Linked DNA regions of Caenorhabditis elegans. The protein of the gene in region 1 interacts with the protein of each later gene in a pairwise test. Each region holds a gene or a part of one and is shown in the gene's direction. Other genes may lie near its edges.

What was found.
Region 2: the proteins of smu-1 (region 1) and ptps-1 interact in a two-hybrid assay, tested with the Caenorhabditis elegans proteins (one large-scale study listed by BioGRID).

The regions. Positions count from the first base shown.
Region 1 is NC_003279.8:12,993,679-12,998,914, forward strand, and holds the start of smu-1 (Smu-1 suppressor of mec-8 and unc-52 protein), read left to right. Parts: upstream 1-2,124; 5' UTR 2,125-2,210; coding exon 2,211-2,239; intron 2,240-2,326; coding exon 2,327-2,393; intron 2,394-2,446; coding exon 2,447-2,590; intron 2,591-2,886; coding exon 2,887-3,286; intron 3,287-4,278; coding exon 4,279-4,403; intron 4,404-5,236. Other genes in the region: nlp-15 (Neuropeptide-Like Protein), read left to right, coding at 549-743, 1,230-1,373, 1,425-1,457. UniProt on the Caenorhabditis elegans protein: Involved in pre-mRNA splicing as a component of the spliceosome. Selectively regulates alternative splicing of unc-52 exon 17.
Region 2 is NC_003279.8:4,651,409-4,654,510, reverse strand, and holds ptps-1 (Putative 6-pyruvoyl tetrahydrobiopterin synthase), read left to right. Parts: upstream 1-1,604; coding exon 1,605-1,757; intron 1,758-1,809; coding exon 1,810-1,941; intron 1,942-2,187; coding exon 2,188-2,325; 3' UTR 2,326-2,366; downstream 2,367-3,102. Other genes in the region: ain-2 (ALG-1), read right to left, coding at 825-913, 969-984. UniProt on the Caenorhabditis elegans protein: Involved in the biosynthesis of tetrahydrobiopterin, an essential cofactor of aromatic amino acid hydroxylases. Catalyzes the transformation of 7,8-dihydroneopterin triphosphate into 6-pyruvoyl tetrahydropterin.

The DNA.
Region 1 (5,236 bases):
TCCTATATTTCGTACCATAAAATTTATGCCGTGTCTTATGTCCTCCTAACATCCTGACATTTCTCGGAACTTCCTCAACATCTAATCCTCTTCAATCACTGAAGTAAATACTATTTAATCCACCTCTCTTCTTGTCAAGACCCAAGTTTGTGAGTCCTCCTTCCCAAAAAATAAAAAAACAAAATGTATCACATCTCGTGTCCAATGACGCGAAATAAAACGGGGAAGCGAAGAAGTGCGTCAAACGAAATTTTCCAATTACAAAGTGCCAACAAACTCGCCAGGCATCATGATGACATAGACATAAACATGTGTAGGGGGGCCCCTCGTTGATATTGGGATGGCTAGGGGGGTCCTGGTGGAGGGTGAAAGGGAGACACTACAAACTACAGAACTGTGTTAGCTGAGCACTATTTGAATTCAAGACATATAATTCTGTAATACTGCATCAATAGTATACTAACTTAGTTTTTTCTACATTATATAATTTAGGCAAAACTAGTTATTTTATTAACATTTAAAAAGGTTCAAATAGTTTTTAATTCCAGATGTCCACAGTGGAAAGTGCAGCTGTCCGACTACGTCCAGTTGGCTCATTGTTCTTCCTGAATCGACCTCACGAGAAAAGAGCATTCGATTCGTTAGCTGGAAGTGGTTTTGATAATGGATTCAACAAACGAGCATTCGACAGTCTTGCTGGTTCAGGTTTCGGAGCATTCAATAAAAGAGCATTTGATTCATTGGTGAGTTGAAGGTGGCCTTAAGCCATCAGGCGTGTGTGTCTGCCTACTGCCTAACTTTTTTCGGTGATCGATTAGAAAAAGCTGTTCCAAAGTTCGTTAAAAATGTTTAAAATTTTGAAGCAAACATTTTTCAATTGACGAATTTTTAAAAATATTTCTAACGGTTTTTGAGCAAAGTCCAGATTTTTAACAATTTTTTTCATGCTACAAACTACACTTGGTTTCAAAGTGTCTCATTTCGGTTTGATCTACGCAGATCTACAAAAAATGCGGGAGAAGTGACGCGTAGTTCTCAACTGATTTTGCATGGTTGAGAATGTGCTGACGTCACATTTTTCTGCGCGAAAAATTTCCGCATTTTTGTAGATCAAACCGTAATAGGACAGCCTGGCACCACGTGCCCATATGGTTAAGCTCTTGGTGAAAATGTAGTTTGTAGTTTGTAGTTTGTAGTCTTTCCTCTCCAAACAACTCCAAATTTTTCAGGCGGGAAGTGGCTTCGGTGCGTTCAACAAACGCGCTTTTGACTCGCTAGCCGGATCCGGCTTCAGCGGTTTTGACAAAAGAGCTTTCGATTCACTGGCTGGACAAGGTTTTACTGGATTTGAGAAACGCGCCTTTGATACAGTGGTACGGTTTTCGGTGGAAATTCCAGTTTTTCGAATTTTCAATAATTTTCAGAGCACGTCAGGCTTTGACGATTTCAAATTGTGAAGAGCTCACTGATATTTAAAATTTGGTTCAATTCAAGCACATATTTTTGAGGTAAGCAACTGATTTTAATGTTGTTAATCAAATGAAAAGTGAAATTTTTGGAATAATTTTTTTTTGTTTTCAGGTAGCTCCAACGAACGACACACACAAGCCCAGTCCCCCAGTATTCCTGACGACAGCCCCTGCTCACACACTTTTTATTATAATTCCTTTTTTTTCAAACTTTTTTTTCAAATTTTATACTTTAATCTCAAAAAACCTATTCATACGAACACAAGTACCGGTGTGCGTGTGTGAGAATAAGAATTTATTTTAAAAAAATAAAGAATGTCGTCCTGTTTTTTCATATTTATTGAAGAAAATGGAGCTGGAAAAAAATCAATTGTAAAAAACAGAAAAACGTGCTGATAAAATGCATTGTACGCAAACTGTGGATTTTGAGAACTAACGTAGTCAAGCAAAAATCTCTGGAATTTTATCGATTTTTAACGGATAAACTGTTGTTTTTTGTAACTGTGCATGAAAAAAAATCTCAGGCAAAAATATTTTCTGAAAAAAAAAGAGTTTAAACACAAATGCAAGTCCACAAAAAACTCCAATTTGAAATTCGCTCCAAAAACGCAAAACACGCCAAGCGCTCGTGCTGGCGCATTTGCCGATCGCTTCCAAAAAGGCTGGCGCACTTCTCGTGTCCGAGGATATTCGAATTTTACACGTCATTTTCAGCCGTTTTTCACCGAATTTTCGCTGAAAATGTCATCGATTGAGATCGAATCTTCAGAGTAAGTTTATCTAAAAAGTTTTTCATTCAAAATGTGTAAAAATTCATTTAAAATAACCCAAAAATCATTAATCCTCGATATTTTCAGTGTAATCCGTCTCATCGAACAATTCCTCAAAGAATCGAATTTGCACCGAACTCTGGCGATTTTGCAGGTATTTTCCTGCATTTTTCAACTGGGAAAATGAAAGAAAATCGATAATTTCAGGAAGAAACCAACGTTTCGCTCAATACAGTCGACTCAATTGATGGATTTTGTAATGAAATTACGTCTGGAAATTGGGATAACGTGTTGAAAACCGTTCAATCGTTGAAATTACCCGCCAAGAAACTTATCGATCTGTATGAACATGTAAGATATGGGAAAGAAGGAAAAAACCGAGATTTTACTTGAAAAATTGAATTTTTCGCGGGATTTTCACCAAAAATTGTTGAATATTCATTATTTCACGCTGTAAAACAAAAAAAAAAAAAATCAAAAACTACGTTGAAATCGCGTTTTTAAGCGAATTTTCTTCAGAATTGCCAGATTTTAACCCCAAATTTTGCAGTTTTTAAATAAAATTTCACCTTTTCGGCTCAAATTGTAGATTTTCCTGAAAATTTAGTACAAAAAACAATTTCCTCGTAAATTTTTCAAATTTTCAGGTAATAATCGAGCTTGTGGAGCTCCGTGAGCTGGCGACCGCCCGTCTCGTCGCCCGTCAGACTGATCCAATGATTTTGCTAAAACAAATTGATCCGGATCGATTCGCCCGCCTGGAATCTCTTATCAACCGCCCGTATTTCGATGGACAAGAGGTTTATGGAGATGTTAGTAAAGAGAAACGACGCTCCGTAATTGCACAAACTCTTTCATCAGAAGTTCATGTAGTTGCTCCGTCAAGACTTTTGAGTTTACTTGGACAATCACTTAAATGGCAACTTCATCAAGGACTTCTTCCACCTGGAACTGCAATTGATTTATTTAGAGGAAAAGCTGCACAGAAAGAGCAAATTGAAGAAAGATATCCGACTATGATGGCTAGAAGCATTAAATTCTCAACGAGTACGGATTGAAATTGCTTTAAAATTTGAAAAATTGATTAAAAAGTGCATTTTTTAAGCTTTGACCGACTTAAAATTAGATTTCTGAGCCTATTTTCTGAGAATTGGAATTTTTTTCATTGTGAAAGTTCAAAGAATAGCGTGAATGATTAGAAAATATTGTAAAATTTCAATTTTTTCCTATAAAAAAGGATTTTTTTAGGAATCAAAAATTGCAAAATGATGCCCTAAAATTCGAAAATAAATATAAAAATTGGCGGTTTCTCAAAAATCTAGAATTCCGACCTTAATTATTAATTTTTTTACAATATTTTTTTTTGAAAAAAATCCAGAAAATTTGAATTTCGTAGTTTGTAGTCTAGGCCTCTATCAATTAAATTTTCGATTTTTTGAGTAAAATTTCGAATTTACTATTATTTGGACCAAAATTGTATTTTTTTTTCAGAATTAAATTTATAAAATTTTCAGAAATTAAATTTATAAAAAAAAAAAAAAATTAAAAAAAAAAAAAAAAAATTAAAAATTAAAAATTAAAAAATTAAGTTTTTTTTACTCAAAATTTTGCACTGAAATTCGAAAATCTAAAAATCCGACCTAAAGTCTGTATTTTTTCAACAAAAATTCAGAAAAAACTCAAAAACTTGTATTTTGTAGCCAGTCAACCACTTTCTAAAATATCAAATTTGAATTTTTCAAGCATTTTTACATTGAAAAATCTAATTTTTCGAGTGAAACCACTTGAAAATCTGAAAATTGAATTAATTTCTGAACTTTAGAGATTTTTTGTCAAAATTTTAGATAAAGGGATTTTTAAACAAAAAATTGATTTTTTAATCGAAAAATACTGGGATTTATGGGTTTTTTAAAAGAAAAACGGGGGTTTGAATGAAAAATCGCCTGAAATCTTAGAAAATTAATTAAAAAACTATGATTTAATTCCAAAAATTACCGAAAATATCAAATTTTCCATTTTTAAACCCTAAATTCTTTCAGAAAGTTATCCCGAATCGGCAGTTTTCTCACCGGACGCTAATTATCTTGTTTCTGGCTCAAAAGACGGATTTATCGAAGTTTGGAATTATATGAATGGAAAATTGAGAAAGGATTTGAAATATCAGGTAGATTTTTTAGAATTTTTGGGTTTTTGAAGTAGAAAATCATAAAAATCTAGGGTTTTTATGAATTGTTTTGAAGAAAAATTGCAAAAATTCCACAAAATGGAAGAAAAATAACTTTGGAAGCGCATTTTTCGCAAAAAAACCGAAATTTTTGCGTAAAATTTCAAAATTGCAATAAAAATTCCACAAACATCAAATTTCTTAAATTTTTTATAAAAAATTGGATGGAAACACTCTTGAATTTAGAAAAAAAATCAGTTTTTCTCATCTAAAACTTCAAAATTTCGGTGTAATCCCATTAAAATTGCCACAAAATTCGGAAATTTCACCTGAAATAGAGTGAATAATTTAAAATGTTCAGAAATTCATATTTTGTCATTTTAAAAGCATTAAAACAAATCAAAAATCTATTTTTTTTGGTTGGAAAAGTTCAAAATTCTGGAGAAATTACATTAAAATTTTCGTAAAATATGGTAAATAAACGAAAATGTTGAGAAATTAAAGAAAAGTTACAATTTTTAGCTTAAAAATTCAACATTTTGAGGAAATGCCACCTAAAAAAGTGACTAATCGAAAATGTTGAGAAATTAAAATTGCCACCATTTATTTATATAAACTACTCTAAAATTACAATTTTCATGTTAAAAATTAATAAAAAATCTACTTTTTCCAAACTACAGTAACCTTACCGTATACCTACAGTACCTGAACATTGCCCCCCACCAGCTCCCAACCCAATACCTCCTCAAAAACTTACACCTCAATTTTTCATAAACTACAGTAACCCTACCAAAAAAGCACAAAAAAAAATCTACATTCATTTTCCAACAATT
Region 2 (3,102 bases), 8.3 Mb from region 1:
TGCCAAAATGGTGGAACCTATTGGTTATTCAAAATAATTTGGCCGTTTTTTAGTTGCAAAATAGAAAAAAATAGTTTTTTGAGTGGAGTTTTCGAATTCAAACAAAAACATCAACGAAAAATTTCGTAAATCCGAGAATTAAAAAAAATCAAATTCCAAAACTACAAGAGTCCCTGTCACTGATCGAGACGTGGAGGAATAAGAAACAAAGAGTGTCAGTGACACAGTACGCTAGAATACGCGACGCAGACAAAAAGTGGACCCCAAGTCGGAGGACACGGACGGAGGTCGACATGACCAATCGATAGAGAGTTCGTTGCGAGAGAGAAAGAAACACGAGACGCAGAGACATGAACAAGAAGACGGGCGGTGTAGTGGTGTGGCGGTGGCGGTTCCTGGGGTGGTTTCCAGCGAAAAAAAAAACGACGAAGGGCACCAAGACGCAGAGACATTGTGCATTAAATATACGTATATATGTACAATATGAAGAAAAAGGAGAAGCAAAGCGTGGAGAGTCTGCACAAAAAAACGTACATTTTTTATTCAAGGAGCGCCCGACAATATGGGCGCCCTCGTTTTCCCCTCCCTCCACAACGACACCTTCTAGGAGGACAATGTATGAGATAATGTAGATTTTTGAAGAGACGGCAGACATTATGAGATGAGAATTCTTGATATCGGAGATTGACCATGAAAAGTGCGGAGAACGGTCAGATGACGTCATCTTCTGGTTTTCTTAGTTATTTTTTATTAACTTGTGCCCAATCAACAGTTTCTTCATGTTAATGATGACTTTAAATTGATTTTTTTAAAATTTCACTCACAACATATTGTTGAGAGTAACTCGACGGAGATCGTGTATCAACGTGTAATTGGCGATAGGGAGGTTGCCGCCGATAATTCGGATCATTGCCTGAAAAATAATTATTGTTTAGAATTAATTGAGCGAAAATATATTGACGAAATACCTTGATATCCGTGCATTTCCACGCAAAACTCTTTTAAAATTTGTTTTTTTCGCGTCTTGCTGTGATTTTTCTGAAAATAAGATACGGAATGTTTAAAAATAATGTTTAAAATCAAAATTTTGATCGAAAATTCGGAAAAAAAATGCACAAAAACGAAGAAGAATGAGTGAAAATGATGAAATATGAATTTGATTTCGAATTTTCGCGGACAAGGGTTACTGTAGTTTTTAAAGGCGCATGCCTCGATTTGAAAAAGTTTACAGGCACAGAAATTTGCTTTTTGAGTGAAAACTTAATAAATATCAGTCCATTGTTTTGAAATCACCTAATTAAAATTGAAAATAAATATTTTGCACTATTTTTTCTATTTAAAATTTCAAAATTCTCCGAATATAAAATTTTAACACGACTACAGTAATCCTTCGCTTGAAATTATTGCGTATTTTGATGCAGAAACTATAATCCTGCTGTCGTAATAAGATGATTAGTTGAAAAGAGAGACGATGACAATCATATCATAATTGTAATCAATTATTTGCAAACACCAGCGCCAGTATATAAATTATTCGTTGAACACACATAATTCTTCCATTTTTCTCCATTTTTTTCTTTTTTTTAATAAAATAAATTATTTGAATGTTCAGAATGCCAATTGTAACTATGGAACGAGTCGATTCGTTCTCCGCAGCACATCGTCTTCACTCTGAAAAGCTGAGCGACGCTGAAAATAAGGAAACTTTTGGAAAATGCAATAATTCAAATGGTCATGGACATAATTATGTTTGGAAGGTTTAAAAATTTTATTTTTTAATAAAATAAAAATAATTTCGAAAAATTTCAGGTAAAGCTCCGCGGAGAAGTTGATCCGACGAGTGGAATGGTGTATGACCTGGCAAAGCTGAAAAAAGAAATGAGTTTAGTGCTGGATACGGTAGATCACAGGAATTTGGATAAAGACGTGGAATTTTTTAAGGTACTGTAGACAGATTATGCGTCATTAAAAATGCTATTCAAAGTGTGGGTCTTGGCACGAGCGAAACTTTTCAGCTACAGTACCATCTAGTATGGTTTAAATGTTTTTTGTTTAAAAGATTCGAGAATTTTGCTATTGAAAAAAATCTAAATTAAATTTTTTTTGTTATCATAAAAAATTTCGGAAGGACCCAAGACCGCAATTTCGCGTTTCAAAACCAAGATAAATACTTTTTTCCAATTTCAGACAACTGTGAGCACATCTGAAAACGTGGCAATTTATATGTTCGAGAAGCTGAAATCCGTAATGTCGAATCCATCGGTTTTGTATAAAGTGACAATTGAGGAGACACCCAAGAATATTTTCACTTATAAAGGATGTTAATTTCTGAAATAAATAGTTTTTGAATAAAACCATAAAACCAATTTTTCAAGCCTTTTAGCAATAGAGCGTGTTTCCAAAAAAAGTCTAGATTTAATCGGATTAATTGTTTCGAAACTGTCGACGACAAACGCCCGGAAAAAATAACTATATGTGTTGTTGTAACAGCAGATTCTGATCATCAACATTTACAAAAACCCTGTTTATTCCAATTCCACTGTCCTCTTTCCGCCGCCACACTACACTTCCCCTTTTCACTTCTTTTGCCGTCTTTTGCCCCACTATATTCCTCGGCTTTCTCCCCACTCATTATCTGTGTCTCTCGTGACTAGAGTGCTATTTCATACGCACCTTCCACACACACACACACACACAAGGAGCCAAATTTGCACAAGCTTTTTCGTCATTTTTTCGTCATTTTTTTCAAATGTGAATTTTTAGAAAACTTGAAAACTATAATTTTGTATTTTCACCTAAAATTACTGCAAACTCTTGTATTGAAAATTTGAAATTACACGTGGAATTAGTTTTTCAAATCCGAACTCTCATATTGATTGAAAAATGAATAAATTGAAAATTGAATTTCCGCGCAAAGGCGTGCCCCAGTGCACATCCGTGTACTCCTCTCGGATAATTAAATAATTAAATTTTTGGTGTTTTTCTTTTGCAATTCTCTTGATTTTATATGCATTTTTTTGATCAATTTCTTGTCTGAAAATCATAATTCATGAAAAATCCGCGGATTCACGGTTAACCCATTGATTAGCCACTTCTTACACA